Linked DNA regions of Cricetulus griseus. The protein of the gene in region 1 interacts with the protein of each later gene in a pairwise test. Links are inferred from orthologs where the notes say so. Each region holds a gene or a part of one and is shown in the gene's direction. Other genes may lie near its edges.

The links.
Region 2: the proteins of Evl (region 1) and E3 ubiquitin-protein ligase TRIM9 interact in binary tests that used the Homo sapiens proteins (3 or more experiments, as listed by UniProt). The two-hybrid records come from large-scale screens. The link is inferred for Cricetulus griseus from reciprocal best matches to the Homo sapiens genes EVL and TRIM9.
Region 3: the proteins of Evl (region 1) and Sptan1 interact in binary tests that used the Homo sapiens proteins (3 or more experiments, as listed by UniProt). The link is inferred for Cricetulus griseus from reciprocal best matches to the Homo sapiens genes EVL and SPTAN1.
Region 4: the proteins of Evl (region 1) and Abi3 interact in binary tests that used the Homo sapiens proteins (3 or more experiments, as listed by UniProt). The link is inferred for Cricetulus griseus from reciprocal best matches to the Homo sapiens genes EVL and ABI3.

What each region holds. Positions count from the first base shown.
Region 1 is NC_048598.1:186,225,956-186,230,310, reverse strand, and holds the start of Evl (ena/VASP-like protein), read left to right. Parts: upstream 1-1,263; 5' UTR 1,264-1,366; coding exon 1,367-1,371; intron 1,372-4,355. UniProt on the Homo sapiens protein: Ena/VASP proteins are actin-associated proteins involved in a range of processes dependent on cytoskeleton remodeling and cell polarity such as axon guidance and lamellipodial and filopodial dynamics in migrating cells.
Region 2 is NC_048598.1:133,134,854-133,138,356, forward strand, and holds the end of E3 ubiquitin-protein ligase TRIM9, read left to right. Parts: intron 1-763; coding exon 764-926; intron 927-2,659; coding exon 2,660-2,722; downstream 2,723-3,503. UniProt on the Homo sapiens protein: E3 ubiquitin-protein ligase which ubiquitinates itself in cooperation with an E2 enzyme UBE2D2/UBC4 and serves as a targeting signal for proteasomal degradation.
Region 3 is NC_048599.1:141,635,195-141,639,764, forward strand, and holds the start of Sptan1 (spectrin alpha chain, non-erythrocytic 1), read left to right. Parts: upstream 1-1,584; 5' UTR 1,585-1,723; exon of another isoform or gene 1,724-1,790; intron 1,791-4,570. UniProt on the Homo sapiens protein: Fodrin, which seems to be involved in secretion, interacts with calmodulin in a calcium-dependent manner and is thus candidate for the calcium-dependent movement of the cytoskeleton at the membrane.
Region 4 is NC_048600.1:108,994,159-108,998,467, reverse strand, and holds the start of Abi3 (ABI gene family member 3), read left to right. Parts: upstream 1-1,238; 5' UTR 1,239-1,355; intron 1,356-1,491; 5' UTR 1,492-1,621; coding exon 1,622-1,738; intron 1,739-4,309. UniProt on the Homo sapiens protein: May inhibit tumor metastasis. In vitro, reduces cell motility.

The sequences.
Region 1 (4,355 bases):
CAAACCAAATCTGGATCCCAAGAAGACAGGCACAAATGAGGTCAGGAGGGCTACAACCCAGGCACTGCTAACAGTACAGCAGGTTGAGGAAGCCAGTAGGATTGCTGTCTTCCAGCTCATAGTGCTCTGTGAATGCCCTGGAAAGCCTGTACAGTAGGGTTCCACTTGCCACCCGGCACCCTCGCGGCTCAGCCTTGCCTCCCAAATCACGCCCTGCACCTGCCCTGTCCTCTCTTAGCTCTGTCATCAGCAGGGCTTCCCTGGGGACTCCGCCCCTCCCGGCTTCCCCGCTTTGCTCCAGATCTACGCCCAGACCCAGGACCCCCCAAGGCCTTCCGGCAGAGCTCCTCCCACTTTCTCCCTATTCACTTTTTCCTCAAAGCCTCTCCTTGTTTCCCCTGGGTCCCCACGGCTCTGCCCCCAGGCCTGGTCCAGAGGTCAAGTCCAGGTCAAGTCCAGTCTCTAGATACCCTTATCTTGAAGTTTAGCCTTGCAGCCTCTGGGCCCTAGGTCACGCCCACTACCCCGCCTCCTAGCTCCAAGACCCCAAGGCTTTCCCGCTGAGGTTGGCACCTGTCTTTCTCTTGCACACAAGGTCACACCGGCTGCTCCGACCGACCTGGAACTCAGTAGGCTAACCTACCTGTTCCTCTAAACTACCGTTTCGCCTTTGGGCCCTAGGCCCCGCCCCTGCCCCGCCCCCAGGCAGGACTGCCCAACCACAAGGCTTCGCCCCGCCCCTCCAGACTTGGCTCCGCCCCGCCCCGCCCCCTCGCGCTCCGCCCTCCTGGAGGCGCGGACCGTGGCTCCCCGCGCCTTTTGTGTGCAGCTCCGCCGCCGCGCGCGCCCTTTCCCTCCGCGGCTGGCGACCGAGGGGGGCGTCGGCGCGCGCAGTCCCCTCGGCGGGCGGAGGGGCCCCTCGGCCCCGCGTGCACCGCGCACCCCATCCGCCGCCCGGGAGTCTCGGACGGAGGGACGGACGGACGCGCGCGCGCGCTCCCCCGCTCCCCGGCTCGCTCGCTCGCTCGCACGCTCGCACGCTCCCGCCCGCGAGACCCCGCCGCTCGCCCCCTCCCCCGGCCGTCGGCGGGCGGCACGCGCACGCGCCGGCCCGGGCACGCGCGCCGCCAAGATGGCAGGCCGGGGCCCAGCTGTCAGTCGCTACCGCCGCCGCCCGCCGCCGCCGCTGCTGCCCCGCAGCTAGCGGCCCGGACGCCCGCCGGAGAAGATGAGCCCCGCCGCCGCCGCCTGCAGCCCAGCCAGACGCGGAGCCGCCGCGCCCGGGGCCGGCTGCCCCGCTAGCGCCCCGCCGCGCCGCGCCGCGCCGCGCTTCACCCCCGGCCCCCGCGCCCGCACGGCAGCCACGATGAGGTGAGTCGGGGCCGCGAGCGCCCGGCGCGGGGTGCGGGGTGCGGGGTGCGGTGCGGGAGACCCAGGCGGCCCCGGAGCCCCCGAAGCCGCGGGGTCCGCGGGAGGCCGCGCGCCGGTCCCCGTGTCTTCCCACCGAGCGCGCCGCCGCCGCCGATGCGGAGCTCTCCTCCCCCTCCAGGGCGCCGCCTCCTCACCTTCTTTATGACCTGTCCCCTTTCGCTTGCAAACCTGCCGTCGTGTGTAAATAAATAAATAAAGGTATGGCTACTGATGTGCCATTCAGCCAGGGAGCCCGGTCAACACCCAGAAACTCGCCGCGCGCCCTCCTCATTAGCAGCAGCCACCCACCCTCTCCAGGTGAAACGTGCCCTGATTTCTGGGGTGGTGTGTGCTTGGTTTTTTGGGTTTTTGTTTGTTTGTTTGTTTGCTGTGTAATTTTTATCTTCTAAGCACTGAAGTGTCCGACTGTAGATTCGTTTATTCGTTTCTTCCGTTTTGTGAGCTGTATCTAAATCAAATAATGCACTATGTAATTTTGTGTCTGGCTTCTTTCATTAGAGGTATTTCTGAAGTTCGTCATGTTTCTGCCATCTACTGCCCTGCATAGTATATAGATTTATCCATTCTACTACTGTTAGTGGACTTTTGAATTGTTTGTAGCTTTTGGCTGTAAACGCTGTAGTGAATATACCTGTGTACTTCCCAAAGCCTTCATTTCTCTTGAGTATAAATTATACTAACCCACAAGTAGGGGTTTTTTTTTGCTTGCTTGTTTGTTTTGAGACAGGGTTTCCCGTGTAGTCCTTGCTGGCCTGGAACTCACTTTGTAGACTAGTCTGGCCTCAGACTTAAAGATCCACCTGCCTCTCCCTGGGATTAAAGGCATGTGCCACCACCGCCTGGTGAGATTTTTTTTTTTAATATAAAAACATTTGTATCTTGTGCTGTAGTGGATAAAGCAAAATTCCCAAAGTGGCGGTACCAGTTTACATCAGCAAGCATTTAGTAGCTCTTGTTTAAAATCCTTCACAATCCTTGGTAGTGTCTGCCTGAAATTTTAGCGTGAGTGGCAGTCCATCAGAGTTTTAACTTGCAGTTTCCTGTTGACTAATGAGACTGATTGTCTTTTTGTGTTTGTTTGGCATCTTTTGTAAAGTGTCCATTTAAATCCTGTCCAATTTTTCTTGAGGGGTTTACTTGTCTTCCTAATTTTTTAGTGTTTCTATTTCTAAGTGAAGATGATAGCTTGCTGACATCTTGCAGAAATCTCAGTGTTTTGCTTTTCACATGAATTGATACTGTTCACCTGGAATTGATTTTTTTGTATAACATATGAAGTAGTGATTATGTCTCATTTTTACCTGACATCATTTATTCCTCAGTGTTTATCAAGGCCGTCTTCTTCTTCAACTGTGTTGCCACCTTTGTCATTTTCTCCTGAAGAACTTCTTTTAGTGTCTGAGTGCTGCAGGGTTGGGTATCAGACCCTGAGTCTTGCATGCATCCACTGAGCGATAGCTGCTTTGGCTTTTACGTATATGTATGTATGTGTGCATACATGTTTGCATGTGTGGCCACACACAGGTTTGAGGTTGGCATTGGGAGTCTTCTTCCATAGCTCTCCAATTTATTCACTGAGGCAGGGGGTCTCAGTTGAACACACAGCAGCCAGTATGGGTAAGATGCACTAACCATCCTCTTGGTCCTGTCTCCTTCTAACAGCTTGAATTGCAAGGAGGCTGCCACACCCACACAACTTTTTTTTTGGGGGGGGGGGTGGGCCTGGTTTTCCAGGCTGGGTTTCCCTATAGCCTTGGAGGCTGTCCTAGAACTAGCTATTGTAGACCAGGCTAGTCTGGAACTCATAGAGTTCTGGGATTAAAGGTGTGCGCCACTGCCTGGCCCCACACAACTTTTATATGGGTTATATGGATAGACCTTCCTCATGTTTGCATGGCTAGCAATTTATCCTTGGGACCACCTCCTCAGCTTGTCTTTGTGTTTTTGTGGCAGGGTCTTGTCCTGTAGCTCAGGCTGCTTAGGAATACAGTAGCTCAGAGTGGCCTAGAACTCACCATCTTCCTGTCTGCTGCGATTTCGAGTGTATACAGCCAGGCCGGGTCCCTTTAGTATCACGTGCGTGCGTGCGTGCGTGCGTGCGTGCGTGCGTGGCTTTGCTGGCAACAGATTGTTAGATGTTGTTTGAAAATGTTTTACCCTTCACTTTTTTTCTGGTTCATAAACAACTTTATTGAGATGTAGCTCATGCCACAAAACACCCATGAAAGCATGCAGTTTGTTGGTTTTTAGACTATCCAGAGTTGTGCATTGGGACCTTTCCTCCATTTCAAAGAATCTTTTCACTAATTAGTTGCAGAACTCGGGACTTCCCTTGCCTAAGCATTTGAAAGCTTTCTCATAGTCTGGCTTGATTGTTCCTGTTGAGAAGTCACTTGTTACATCGTTGTTCCTTTGATAGTAGGTCTTGATTTGCCTGCTTCTGGTGTTTTGGTTTACTTTTGGTTTTGAGATAGGGCTCACGCTGTAGTCCAGGCTGGTTTCAACCTCATGGCAGTCCTTGGCCTCTTGAGTCCTGGGATTACAAGCCTGAGCTGTTACACCTGGCTCTGCTTTTAACGTGTTCTTTTTACCTTTCATTATCAATAACCTCCCCTCCCCCATGAAGTTAGTCTAGCCCACGCTGATTGCATTCTTCCTGCTTCAGCCTCCCAAAGTCTGGGATGATAAGTGTGCAGCAGTGCTTAATCTCAATCTCCTGTGTTTTTATAGTTGGGGGTCTTATGGCTTTTTTTCTTTTTCTTTTCTTTTTTTTTTTTTTTTTTTTTTTTTTTGAGAGACAGGGTCTCTGTAGCCCTGGCTGTCCTGGAACTCACTATGTAGACCAGGATGACTTCAAACTCAGAGATCCACCTGCCTCTGTCTCTGCCTCCTTAGTGCTGGGCTACCATTGCCTGCTGCTCAGG
Region 2 (3,503 bases), about 53 Mb from region 1:
GGCTTCTGTAGTCAGTTTTCTCCTGTTACAGCTCAGATTCCATGTGTACCAGTTCACTCTCAGCAAGGCACAGTAAATAAGGGACTTCGAGGAGGGGTGGCTGCCTCCACAGGGAAGTGGAAATTTCGGGGGAGCAAAAAATCTAAATCAGCTGGGGGTTGGTGGTGCATGCCTTTAATCCCAGCACTGGGAAGGCAGAGACAGGTGGATCTCTGTGAGTTCAAGGCCAGCCTGGTCTACAGAGCGAGTTCCAGGACAGGCTCCAAAGCAATACAGAGAAACCCTGTCTCGAAAAAAAAATCTAAATCATATTTTCATATGCAAAGCAAGGATACACCAAATATAAATAGTATATAGTGTATCTAAGGCTTTAAAGTTTTATGTTCAAAAAAAAAAAGTGCAAAAAAAGCTGAGCTGGGGGGAAAATGTAAACAGGTTACAAAATCCTGGTTTGGCAAGGCCTGGTGGGACGGGCCTATAGTCCTATCTACCTGGGAAGTTGCAGCAGGAGGATTGCCAAGTTTCAGGCTTGCCTGGGCTGTGGTGGAAGTTCAAGGCCAGCCTGGACAATTTGATAAGACCCTGTCTCAAAAAGTAAAAAGAGAACTGGGGATAAATGCAGCGGCAGAGCACTTGCCCTAGGGTCAATCCCCGGTACCAAATATCAAAAGCAAAAATAAAGAAAAGTTCGACAAACCGACAGGGGGAGATTTAAGAATGGCAATGAGCTAATGAGACTCCATTTTTCTTCCTTTTCCCACAGAACTGAAGGAGGGATCACAAAAGGGGCCACCATTGGAGTCCTCCTCGACTTAAATAGGAAAACGTTAACATTTTTCATCAACAATGAGCAGCAAGGGCCCATCGCATTTGAGAACGTGGAGGGCCTGTTCTTTCCTGCTGTCAGCCTGAACAGAAATGTGCAGGTGAGCACCAGGGCCCTGGGACTAAGGGCAGCTTCCTCAGGTTGCTGCTTCAAAGTCTGCCCAGGGCAGTAAAATCCTCAGAACTCCAAGAGGGAAGCTGATCCGAGGTGCAGACTGCACACCAGCGGACCCCTTCTCATGCCCTTGCCACCCACGCACAGGAAACACAGGCCTCCTTTCCCCTTCCCTACATGCTTTGTTCTAGTTTCATCTCTAACTAGAGCTGAATGTCTTCAACAGAGTGACATGAAAGCCAATGAGATGACTCCTAGGGAGCACCAGGAATGCCCGAGAAAAGCAAACATTAGACCCTTATCAGAAGGCGGGAGAGGCTTCACTCTCCTTCACTCTGCCTTGCACTGTTGGCTGGGAAGCACAGTTACTCTCAATTTCCTATAGATACAAAACAACAGGTTCTTCTCACTCCTTTACTCAACAGGGCCCCTGTAATATGCCAGCTCTGTTGTAAATATTTGATAGTCATCAGTGAGAGAGAAAATAAACAGATACAAATCTTACCCTCCCTAAGCTTATATTCCAGTTACCACTATTAAGCAAGGTGGCCAGTGGGCTGGCCTTGTTGTGGTCACTGCTGATCTGAATCCTGAAGGAAGAAGGTGGTAGGCTGGGTAGAGGTTCCCAAACTTACAAGTTTCTAAGGCACGAGGTTGGGCAGAGAACAGCAAAGAGGCTAGTGGGCTGGGGCAGGGAGCAGTAGAGGGGAGTTGCAAAGCTTGCAAGGAGTGTGGGTGGTCCTGCCGACCACTGTTAGAATCCAGGACTTCACAGCCCTCCTGAGTTGGTCCTCCCATTACCTGACATACACCTCACTAGCCTTGAAATAGGACTTGAAAACAAAATCCTGTAGACGATTCATACCTCCACCTACAGCCACAGCCTTGAAACTCTTTTACATCAATTACAGTCTATGAGGATATGCAGTAAAACTGTTTACAACCCAGCAACCCCTGCCTTCTGGCTTTCTGCAAGTAGGTGGGACTGTCTGGGGATGAAATTTAACTCTTCAGAGGCCAGCCTGACATCAGAAGACAGAAAGCTTAAACTGCCGTAGAAGTGAATATAAGAAAAAACTCATTGTAAATATTCTACCTTTTCAGACATTTCCCTTCCAAAGACTACCACTCTAGTCATGCTTCAGGCTTTCAAGGATGTTACAGCATCTTTAAACAAAGACTCTTGACAGGGATGGTATGGACAAGAAGGAGAAAGTGGCAGTTTTTATGAGATGCTTCTAGTCTTTTCCCATAGCTATTCAGCATAATTTGAGATTGCCTAGAAATTGGCACAACAGCATAAGTGCCATGTTTCTTCTGTTAAAAATCCTTTGTTCAATCCCAGAAAGATTTGTCCATAACTGGAACTCATGAACAAGCTAATATATTCTTTGTCCATAGACTTGGGCCGTGGTCACTTTGTGTAGGCCAAAGGCTTCACTACCTACACACAAGTGCCTTGTCTTCAGTCAAAAGAAATGCAGTCTCCCAGAATACTTTTAAAGAAGTAGGGATTGTGTCTCCTGGGTTTGGAGGCCCACCATCGTTGCCCGGCTCTTACTGCAGCTGGAATCCCGCTAGAAGTCCCTTTAATGTCTTTAGGATAGATGTTCAAGAGAAGTGAATGGGCCCTTATCGAATTGAGGGCACACAACCCCGCACTGTGATTAGATCAATGTAAGCACAGCGTCCTGCATAGCTCACAGTCTCATTCCCCAGGTCACGCTCCACACTGGGCTTCCGGTCCCCGACTTCTACTCCAGCAGAGCTTCCATAGCCTAAGGGTATGCTGCGGAAGGCACTAGCTGTCCAAGAGGGACAGCATGGAGCCACCAGCCTCGGTAGAAGACAGAGGAGAGGAGCTGGTCCTCTGCCATCTCCGCCCCTACAGCGCCACCCTATCCCGTCAGCCTCTCCGCATCACTTCACCTACGCTCCTTCCTCATCCAGACGTCCTAACCCGCAGAGGACCTCAGCCGCCCACCAGTTCCCTTTGTTTCACATGTTGCTTTTCTTTAATTTAGGGTTCGGGGTTTTGGCTTTTTTGGTTTTGTTTTGTTTTGTTTGTAGACTGAGTTTGTTTTGTTTCTTTTCTGATCATGTTTTGCTGACTTACCTAACTGGCACTGCCAAGAGAAAATTCTCCTGGAAACTTTTTTTTTAAGCTTTTGGTCTCACAAAGATGTTGTAGGGAGAGCAGGTAGGAAAAAGGTTGAATTTAGAGTTGGCCATTTGACTCCTAGAATGCTCTTGCCCTGTTTCTTGTCAAGCAACGTCAGCTCTTCATGGCTCCTTCTTGGGAGGTAGGCAGAGTGTACCTGGCACCCAGAAGTCATACTCTACCCTGAAGCACAAATATATCAGCTACACAGATTCACAGCAGGGTGAAGGCTTTCAGATAGGCTGTAGACACTGGGCAGGCCAGGGGACTCAATGATTTGATTCATTTAGCTAATACAAGATTTTAATTAAGAATGCTATGGACAGGCACTTTTCAAGACACTAGAATCTGTGTTCTAGACACTGGGGAAGAACAAGGGAAAAGATGACAACTCTACCTTCC
Region 3 (4,570 bases), on another chromosome or scaffold:
ACAGCCTGGTCTATAGCCAGAGCTACAAAGGGAAACACTGTCTGGAGGGAGGAAAAACAAAAAACAAACAAACAAAAAAAACAGTTCAGGAAGCAGCTCCCCAACCTATTTTCTCTGTAAAGATTGCAGGAAATGCCTCCTTTCCTCAAGATTTGTGAAGCTGCTTCTGGGGTGTGGCCATTCCTTTTGTGTTTCTCCACTCCAAGGAAAAGGACTGGGAATCTTCACTATCATGCCTACAGCCAGAGCAGCTTAAAAGTCACAATGCAGATCCTAGGCTCTGGAGAAGCCAAACTGCAGAGGAACAGAAATATCAGGACAGGGCCTCACCCGAGTTCTGGAGCAAGGCCCAGTGTCTTTGTAATTATTTAACGAGGAGGGCGGTTGGTAACCAGGAGGCTGGTGCCTGGGGGAGCTGCAGAACTCCCAGTCGGCCTGACTACACAGGAATGAGCTGGGTGCTACTCGAATGGTTGCTACACAGCTGTCTTCCAAATGGAGGAAGGGAAAGAGCTTTTGCTGGAGGGGAGCCTGGCTACAGAGTTCAGAGCCAGGCCCTGAAATACAGAAATTGCAGAAATCTTGTTTTTCCTCTTCTAAAAAGTCCAGCACCACCTGCAACTGCTTGTGTTAAAATCTTAGCTTTTCTAATTGCTTCGTACCTGACCCGGGTAGAATGCTAGCCTTTATGGCATCAGGGTGCTCATTTGTAAAACAAGGAAGGCAATATCCACCTTGTAAAATTAGTGCAAAGGTTAAAAGCCTAAAGAGGTAGCACACAGTGTCACCTACACAGCAAAGTTCAATTAATTGTGGGGAAAGAAACACTAATGTCTTTTTTTTTTTATCAACGAGAATGAACGAACCCTGTTCTACTGCAACAGGAAGAAAAAATGCTGAATAATTCTCCAAATCCTGAAATAAAAGCTTAATGCCACAAACCAGTCTTTTTCTTTTTCCTAATCAGGATTTGGTTGCTTTTTTTTTTTTTTTTCCCCTACTATCTCAAACACAGGGCCCCAAAATCATCTGATTTTCTTGGCCCCAGCCCCCAACAGAACAGGAACACTCGGGGCTCCCAGCGCCAAGCCTCCTCCTGAGAAAGTGGAGAGGGAGAGCCAACATTCTGGTGAGATCACCCGAAAAGGACAGCGCGTTTTTCCGGCCAGGGCAGCAACATCCCTAGCTTGACTGCGGCGATGGGTCCCGCCCCGCCCTTCGCCGCAGTTCCGGAAGGGCTCCCAGGGGCGGAGGGGCGCGGCACAGATTCTCTGCAGGACGGACTGGGCGGGGCAGGATTGCAGGACCCACGCCGCGGCGGGCGGAGGCGGTGACTCCTCTGCGCCGCGCCGCGCCGCGCCGCGCCCCGAACCCTTCACGCGCGCCCCCGAGCTCCCCTTGCGCCTCCACCCTCGCGTTGCTTATCCCAACCCCCACTCCCCCCGCACCGCTGCCAAGATCCCTTCCGGACGCGCTCGGCCCTTTCCGTATGGCAATCGAGCGGCGAGTCCCGCCCCTCGCGTCACCAACCCGGGAGCCTTCCTCGAGCGCGCGCTCGGCCGCCGCGGGGGCGCGCGCGGTCGCCTATAAAAGCCCCAGCGCGCGCGCGTCGCCGCCACTAGCCGCTGCGGAGCGAACGGCGTGAGGCAGAGGCCGCGGCGCCGCATCTTTTTCCTCAGCAGCCCTCAGCGCGGCGACCCACGCCCCTCACCCCCGGGAGCCGGTGAGAAAGGGCGGCGGAAGGGGAGGGAAGGGCCGAGGGCTGCGGAGCACCGCAGCGGTGCGGACAGGTGAGCCGTGGGGCCTCACGGGCGGCTCCGTGGGCCGCCGCTGCCGCCGCCTTTGTGGCGCGTGGGTTGCGGGGCCGGGCGGCGACCTGGCCTGTCATGGGTGGGGAAGGCGCGCGAGGGCCCCTCCCTGTGCCCGCGGCCCCACCCATCGCGGCAGGTGGTGGTGGGTGGTCCTCGATGGCACCCACCCGCGAGCGTCCCCCCACCCCCCACTGCACTGCATCCGCACCATCCGTGCCCGCACCTCGTGGAAGAGGACGAGCCTGGCGTCTGCAGTGAAGGGCTCTCTGACCTTAATTTCATCCTGTATGGCGATCCCGGGCCCTCAAGCCGCAGAACGGTCTCCTTTTTCTTTCCTGGTAATAAATGTCTTTTTCTCTCCAGTGCTGACCTGCTCCTGTACAGTAGTTAGATGCGGCGCCACTTGGTAGGAGATACAAATCCAATAAATAACTTAATAGGTTACAGCTCTTCTCTTTCTTTTTATGTGAGACTGGGTTTATTTGTTTGTTTTTAAGTCGAAATTAATATATTTTTTGGCCAAATTTTTGCCACCGTGCCACTGTGGAGTGATAGAGCAATCTTTTGTCTGTGTCTGAAGCTGTCCTTGTAAATTTGATGAAATGCTTCTCAACGAAAAATTTTATTTTAAAAGCCTCTCGGGTACTGGAAGTACATATGTATATAAAACAAGGGGCTTTGGTGTAAGTACGGCTCGATGTATTTTAAATGAATAGCCCAGAAAGCTGGGGTGAGATAATTTTTAGCTGCTACACTTTACAGGGTCCTTTTGACTGCCCCCAACACCCCAATATCTCTTCAAACTCTTATTGTGTAGCCCATGTTGGCATGGAATTTGCTAAATAGCCTAGGCTGGTCTCAAACTCAGGTTTTTCCTGCCTCAGCCTCCCAAATAATCAGATATATACCCCCAAATATTTTAAGTTGTCTGTTCTTACCCTTGGTATTTTCGAAAAGCTAATCATCATGGCTGTCAAGGAATACGAAGTATTTTCATAAAGAAACTGCGTTGTCATAGCAATTGGACTTAAGTAAAGCAGAATGTATCAAAGATGGCAGGGTGGGGGTGTCTTGCAGCCAGGAAACAGGAGTTTAAGAATAGCATCAGCAACAGTGAGTTGCATGAAGCTATCGAGCCAAGGATCCCACTCATACTAAATGTCTTAGATTTTAAAGGTCAAATTGAAGTCAAAGTTGGAAAAAAAAAAAAAGTGCTGCAGTGGGGAAAAAAGAGCTGCAGTAAGATCCCTGCAGGAAATTAACAATAAGCCTTTTTTAGTAACTGGGCCATTAATTCCTCAAAGGGACCCTCAAAGTGTGTTGACTGTTATCCAGGGACCTAGGTAAAAAGAATGGAACACAAGGTTTGCCTTATGCCAGACAAGTGTGAAACACTTCTTAGGGTAAATCCAGGGCCTAAGGGCTTATTTCAAATATGTAGTCCCACTCCTTACTTTTTGAGACAAGGTCTTGATATGTGGTTCTTTCTGGAACTATGTAATTGGTTGTAGCTGGTCTCGAACTCACTATGCTCCTGCCAACAAGCCTAGCTGCCACCAACCTTGGCTTTTATTCTTTTAAAGAGATGAGGCCTTGCTATGTTATCTAAAACTCCTGGGTTCTGGCCTAGTGCTTTATCCTCAGCTTCCTGAGTAGCTGGGTCTGTGGCAGGCAGGAGCTGCTGATAGTGCCAAGTTTGGGCTTGGCTGTATGCTTTGTAATAATCTAATAATTGAAGAAACTGATGTCAAGTAATCTAATGAACAAGTTTAAGTAGGGAGAGTGTATTAAGTATATCTTTAAGTTCCCTGGATTAGAATTTTTCTATTATTTTCCTTCTCTGCTTTCATCTCAAAGGGTGGGGCCTCTGCGGATATTGTGAAATGACTCTTAGGAATAGCTCCCCCCATCCTTTCTCTGGAACATTAAAAGGACAGGAGATCTGAGGGCAGCCTGCTTTTGTAATTAGTCCTCCCTGGCTACTGGATAACTAACTCCTCTCTGCATCTGGGCCTGTCACAGCTCATGAGCTGTGTGGCCTTACAGAGGAATGCAGTGATACGATGGCAAGTGCTGACTCCAGGAATGCAGAGGTCTGCATAGCTGATCACATAGAGCTAGCTGACTGGAACAGCTGTGCAATGGACCAGCGTCTTTCCCATCTCTCTTGCACATACTGCTTATACTTGTTTTGAGTAGGAAATAATAGTATTTTGTAAGGGAACTGCACCAACTAATGACTTAATGCTTTTACTTAATTACTTTTACTATGCAAATTCCTAAAATCTTTGAGATTCCTATTTCATCTGAATGTGGATGAGAAGCGGCCAAATTTATTTTTAAAAGAGGCCATATTTATTTTTAAAAGAACATTCAGTATTCAAAATCAACACTTGAATGCCGGGCAGTAGTGGTACACACCTTTATTTTCAGCACTTGGGAGGCAGAGGCTGGTGATTCTGAGTTCAAAGCCAGCCTGTACTAAATAGTGAGTTCCAGGACAGCCAGAGCTTCACAAAAAATGTTTGTCTTGGGGTGGGGGTGGGGGGGAGACAAAACAATCAAACAAAAAATCAATACTGAGTCCTAAAAGAGTGTTCGATTTGGTCAAGGCAGCCCATTAGGTGATGGTAATTGTTAAGACATAGGAGCCTTGGTTCTCTTAATACATTTCAGATTCCTGGTGGGATTTGGATACTGGGGAAATCTTGGCTATTAAATAAATATTGGTGTTTTCACAGATCTGTTGCCTTCACTTT
Region 4 (4,309 bases), on another chromosome or scaffold:
GAGCTCAGTGTTCTGAGTCCTGATCCCCGAAGCCCTCCACTCCTCCACAGCAGACACTGACAGTCACCCACAAAGTAAAAAACAGGCCACCTCCATTGTGGGCCCTGGACCACATCAGCCGCTCTCCTTCAGTGACCCCCCCCCCCGCCCACTCTACCCCCACCTCACAGCTTCCCTTCAGCCCACATGCTCCCCTTCCCTGTCTTTTCCCATCACAGAGCCTGCTCCTCCCCAGACAACACGCCCCAGACTGGCTCTAGCTTTCCGGATCCAGAAGCCCTGTGTCTTCCTTTAGGGAGTTCCGTAACTCCACCTTACAAGGGTCTCCAGGCTCACTCTCCAGTCACTCAATAAAAACATACCCTCGCTTCAAAGCTCAACGCTTCAATCCAGGGGCTGTGGTCACCCCAATGCCATGCCCTTTGCTTCTCGGCCTCCTCAACCTCCCTAGGGCGGGGAGCTCCCTTATCTTCAGTTCCCAAAAGCCACTTACAACCTGCTTTTTCTCTCTGCCTCTCCCAGGGCTACCTGATGACTATGACATTTAGCAGAGCTGAGCTTCTGGTCTGGCTGACATTTGTCCAATAGCAAGGGACTCTCTTGAGGGAATGTTAAGGAACCAGTGTGGTTAGTGAGGGTTCCTCTTCTGTCAGGAGGATGGCAAACTGGGAGGGGGAGGGGATGTAGGGGAGGGGGATGGAGGCCATCCTTGCCACAGGATCAAGGCCCACTCACAGCCGGGTGCTCCAAGAACTCAAATTTAGTTCAGAATCATCAAATCCATTCAACTCCCAGCTAATACAATGAGCCCCACTCAACACTCTGTCCACCAGTGACGCCTCAAGCCCACACATCCATCGGGAATGGTGTCATCCCACACCCAAGGCCCTCTTGTTGCTCATCTGAGTCCCTCGTTTATTTGGTCAATTTTATCTTCTCCTGCCTCTGTCAGGCACAAAACACGGGTCACGGGACTTCCTACCTGACCCTTCACAGGCTTGCCCACAGTTCTCCAGGAACTCTAGACGGTCTTCCTGGTGTCTAACCCTGAGACTTCTTGCTGCTGCATGGGCTGTTTTCCATTGTTGCTGCACAGCCAGCCCCCGCCCCCCATGACTTATCTCCATATCCTATCCACCCTGCACTCCCTCATCCCTTGGTGACTCATCCCCAAGCTTCCCAAGGAAGCCCCCACCCTCTGCCCTTTCCTCCCCTCTTCCATGAGTGGAAAATCCACCCCCATAGCAGGCCAGCCCCTTCCTCCTGTCTCTATTACCCCATCCCCCCATGGACTAGCTTCCTCTCCAGGACCAGGGAGCAATCACAGATGCCCGGACCTTGGCTTCCTTTGCCTGGTGAGATTGGGAGGCTGAGCCCCCAAACAGGCCCCTGGCTTCCCCCCTCGTCTGAGCAGGGGACAGAGAAGCACAGGCCCAGGACCCAGGGTCTGACTTCCTCTTGTCCCGGAATGAACATGCCTACCCTTTGCAGGCAGGTTTGGGTCTCTCACGCAGAGGAAACCAAAAGCAGAGAGAGGGAGGGAAGGCAGAGCGGCCAATCAGGGGCAGGGTGAGGCTCAAAACCAGCAGGCTCCCCAGGGAACCCCACCGAGGCCTGAGCCATGGCGGAGCTGCAGCAGCTTCAGGAGTTTGATATCCCTACGGGCCGGGAGGCTCTGCGGGGCAACCACAGCGCCCTGCTGCGGGTGGCCAACTACTGCGAGGATAACTACGTGCAGGTAAGTGGAGAGAGTGCATGCCAAAATACCCCTGGAGGGGACTTGCAGCCCGGTCCCCCATGCAGGGTTATCTGACAGGTGCCTGTTGTCGCCTTGACTGAGCAATCTTCAGGCTTCAGCATCACCCCACATTTTCCAAGCGCCCCCGCACTTGTTCTTTCTTACATGGCCTCAGAAGTAGAGGATGTGTCTACTTCACTCTCTATATAATCCTACCTTGCCCCAGCTCATCTCTCATCTCCTACAAAGACCCACAAGACCCTTTCCTCTCTCAGGTGCTGGTACCATTTGCAGGCTGGCTCTAGGGGAGTCGTCAGGAAACTTACCACACTCTAGGGAGTTTGTTCCTAGATGTTTGAGGGAGAACAGAGGAGGGTCTGACCAGGTCAGGATGAGAGAAGAGGTCTGATGGGGCTTACAGCCTGGCTGCTGAGAAACGACGAGGAAGGAGGAACTCTACAGTAGTCTCAATTTTTTTATTTTTGGGGGGTTCTTGAGACAGGGCCTCACTGTATGGCACAGGCTGTCCTTCAGTTCTCTGTGGCTCAGGCTGGTCCTTCTATCTCAGTCTTCCCTCAGGGCTGGGATTACAGGTTCCCACTGCCTCTCCTGGCTGTTGTTTGTGTCGTGTCATTTTGTTTTGGTTTCTTAAGGAACTGGGAATGGAGCCCAGGCTGTCTGGGAAGTGTGTTTCTGCTGAGTTAAGCTCCACTCCACCCTGGGGTAGTCTTGCTCATCTTGTGCATATTCCATAGCATTGGCTCCTGGGAATGGAAGAGAGGTGGAGGGCCTCGCAACTACCCATCCATCCCCTTGTCAGTCCTCACAGTCACCTTGTGAGACAACTCCTGTTTTATAGATATGAAAACGGGAAAGGAGGTGACACGTCCAGGGTCACCTCGCTCTGGAACAGCAGAGCCAGGCACGGCTTCCCTGACTTCTCACCTGAGGTCCTTCCTCTCCATCCTTCTGTCTGTCTGACACAGTGTATGACTTGGGACAGTTTATCTGCACTCTGTCCTTGGTTCCCTCTGCTCCATTAAGAATGACAGGTTAAGTCTGCAGCCCCTTACCCCTGGCCAAAATGTGTGACAACACCAGGTTCCTCATCCTATATTAAGGGGACTTGAGAGGAAAAGGGAGCAACTGTCTGTGGGAAATGGCAGACCAAAGAGGAGCAATGACAGCAAAGTTCTCTCTGTACCTTCCCACAGCCTCTTTTTTGTCCCTACACCAGTGGTGAGAGGTGAGCACCATTTACACTTCACAGCGAAGAAGCTGATATTCGGAAAGGGTTAAACTGGGATTCAAACTCAGAATTCTAGTTGGTTGTAGTGGCCATATCTGTGATCCCAGCACTTGTGGGGATATAGGAGGGGGACCGCCAAAAGTTTAAAACCTGCCTTATAGTCTCTATGTGAGTTCAAGCCAGTCAGGATTACACAGCAAGACACTAAAACAACACAGAGACCAAAACAACAAATCAAAACCCCAAGCAAAAAAGCAGGCAGAATTCTGACTTAGAGCCCAATCACTGACCCTTCAGACCACAGTGCTGCCTTGCCTGTCATTCTGGTGGGTGTGATGAGTGATCAGCCTGGAGACAGATGATCTGGAATGTGGCTTTTGAACCAGCTCTCTCCCACTACTAGCTCTTGGGCATGCTTCCCTGGCAGGGATGGAAGCAGCTCTTTCCCGCACCTGAAAGCGCTTCTGGTGGGTCCAATCCCATGTATGCAATTGGTGTGCACATGGGATCTGAAGCCAAAAGCTGAGTCCCCAGGTCTACCATCTACTGACTTAGGAATCTATGGTGAGATTCCCATTGGTCTTTCTCTCCTTCCTAAGATCTTCCTTCCTTCTTTCTCTCTTTCTTCCTTTCTTCCTATCCTGACATTGTCACTCTGCAGCTCAGGCTGGTCTTGAATTCATGACCTGTCTGCTTCAGTTCCAGAAGGCTGGGATTCCAGGCCTGAACCATCATTTGGGAGATGGGAGGAGTTCCTCTTAGAAGCTATACCTTCTCCAAGGTGATTATAAGTATTGACTGGAACAGTGTGCTGAAGCATTTGCCCAGGGCCCATCATCCTGTAAGGAGGGCAGGATAAATGTAGCTATAACTGCTGCTGTTACCATGTCAGTAGTGCCGTGGTGATGGAACTCCCTCTGTTGAGGTGACAGCTTTTGCAAACATACTCAGGGTATAAGAAACCCTGACCCAGGTTGGAAATCCCTGGGTTCCTTTGTGCAGAGTGCTGGCTCCTAGACCATGCAATCAATAACCATCCCTGCCTGTCATAAGAGGATAGTTTCGGGTGGTGTCTTTCATACGGTCTCCATCCCATCCTTCGCCCACTAACCAGGTGTCAGAAGCCCATGGGGAACAGCAGCAGGCAGATGGGTCAAGTGTATGGTTCTCAGCCAAGGTTGACTGAGTATACAAACAGGGTGATTTGCATGATGAACAAGCAGCTTCATTGAAGGTTCCCTGACCCTTGTTTCTCCAGCCTGACTGTGGGCCAAGATCAAAGTTAGAGGTTAGAAACAGCCAGGCTGGAGGTACCCAGAGCT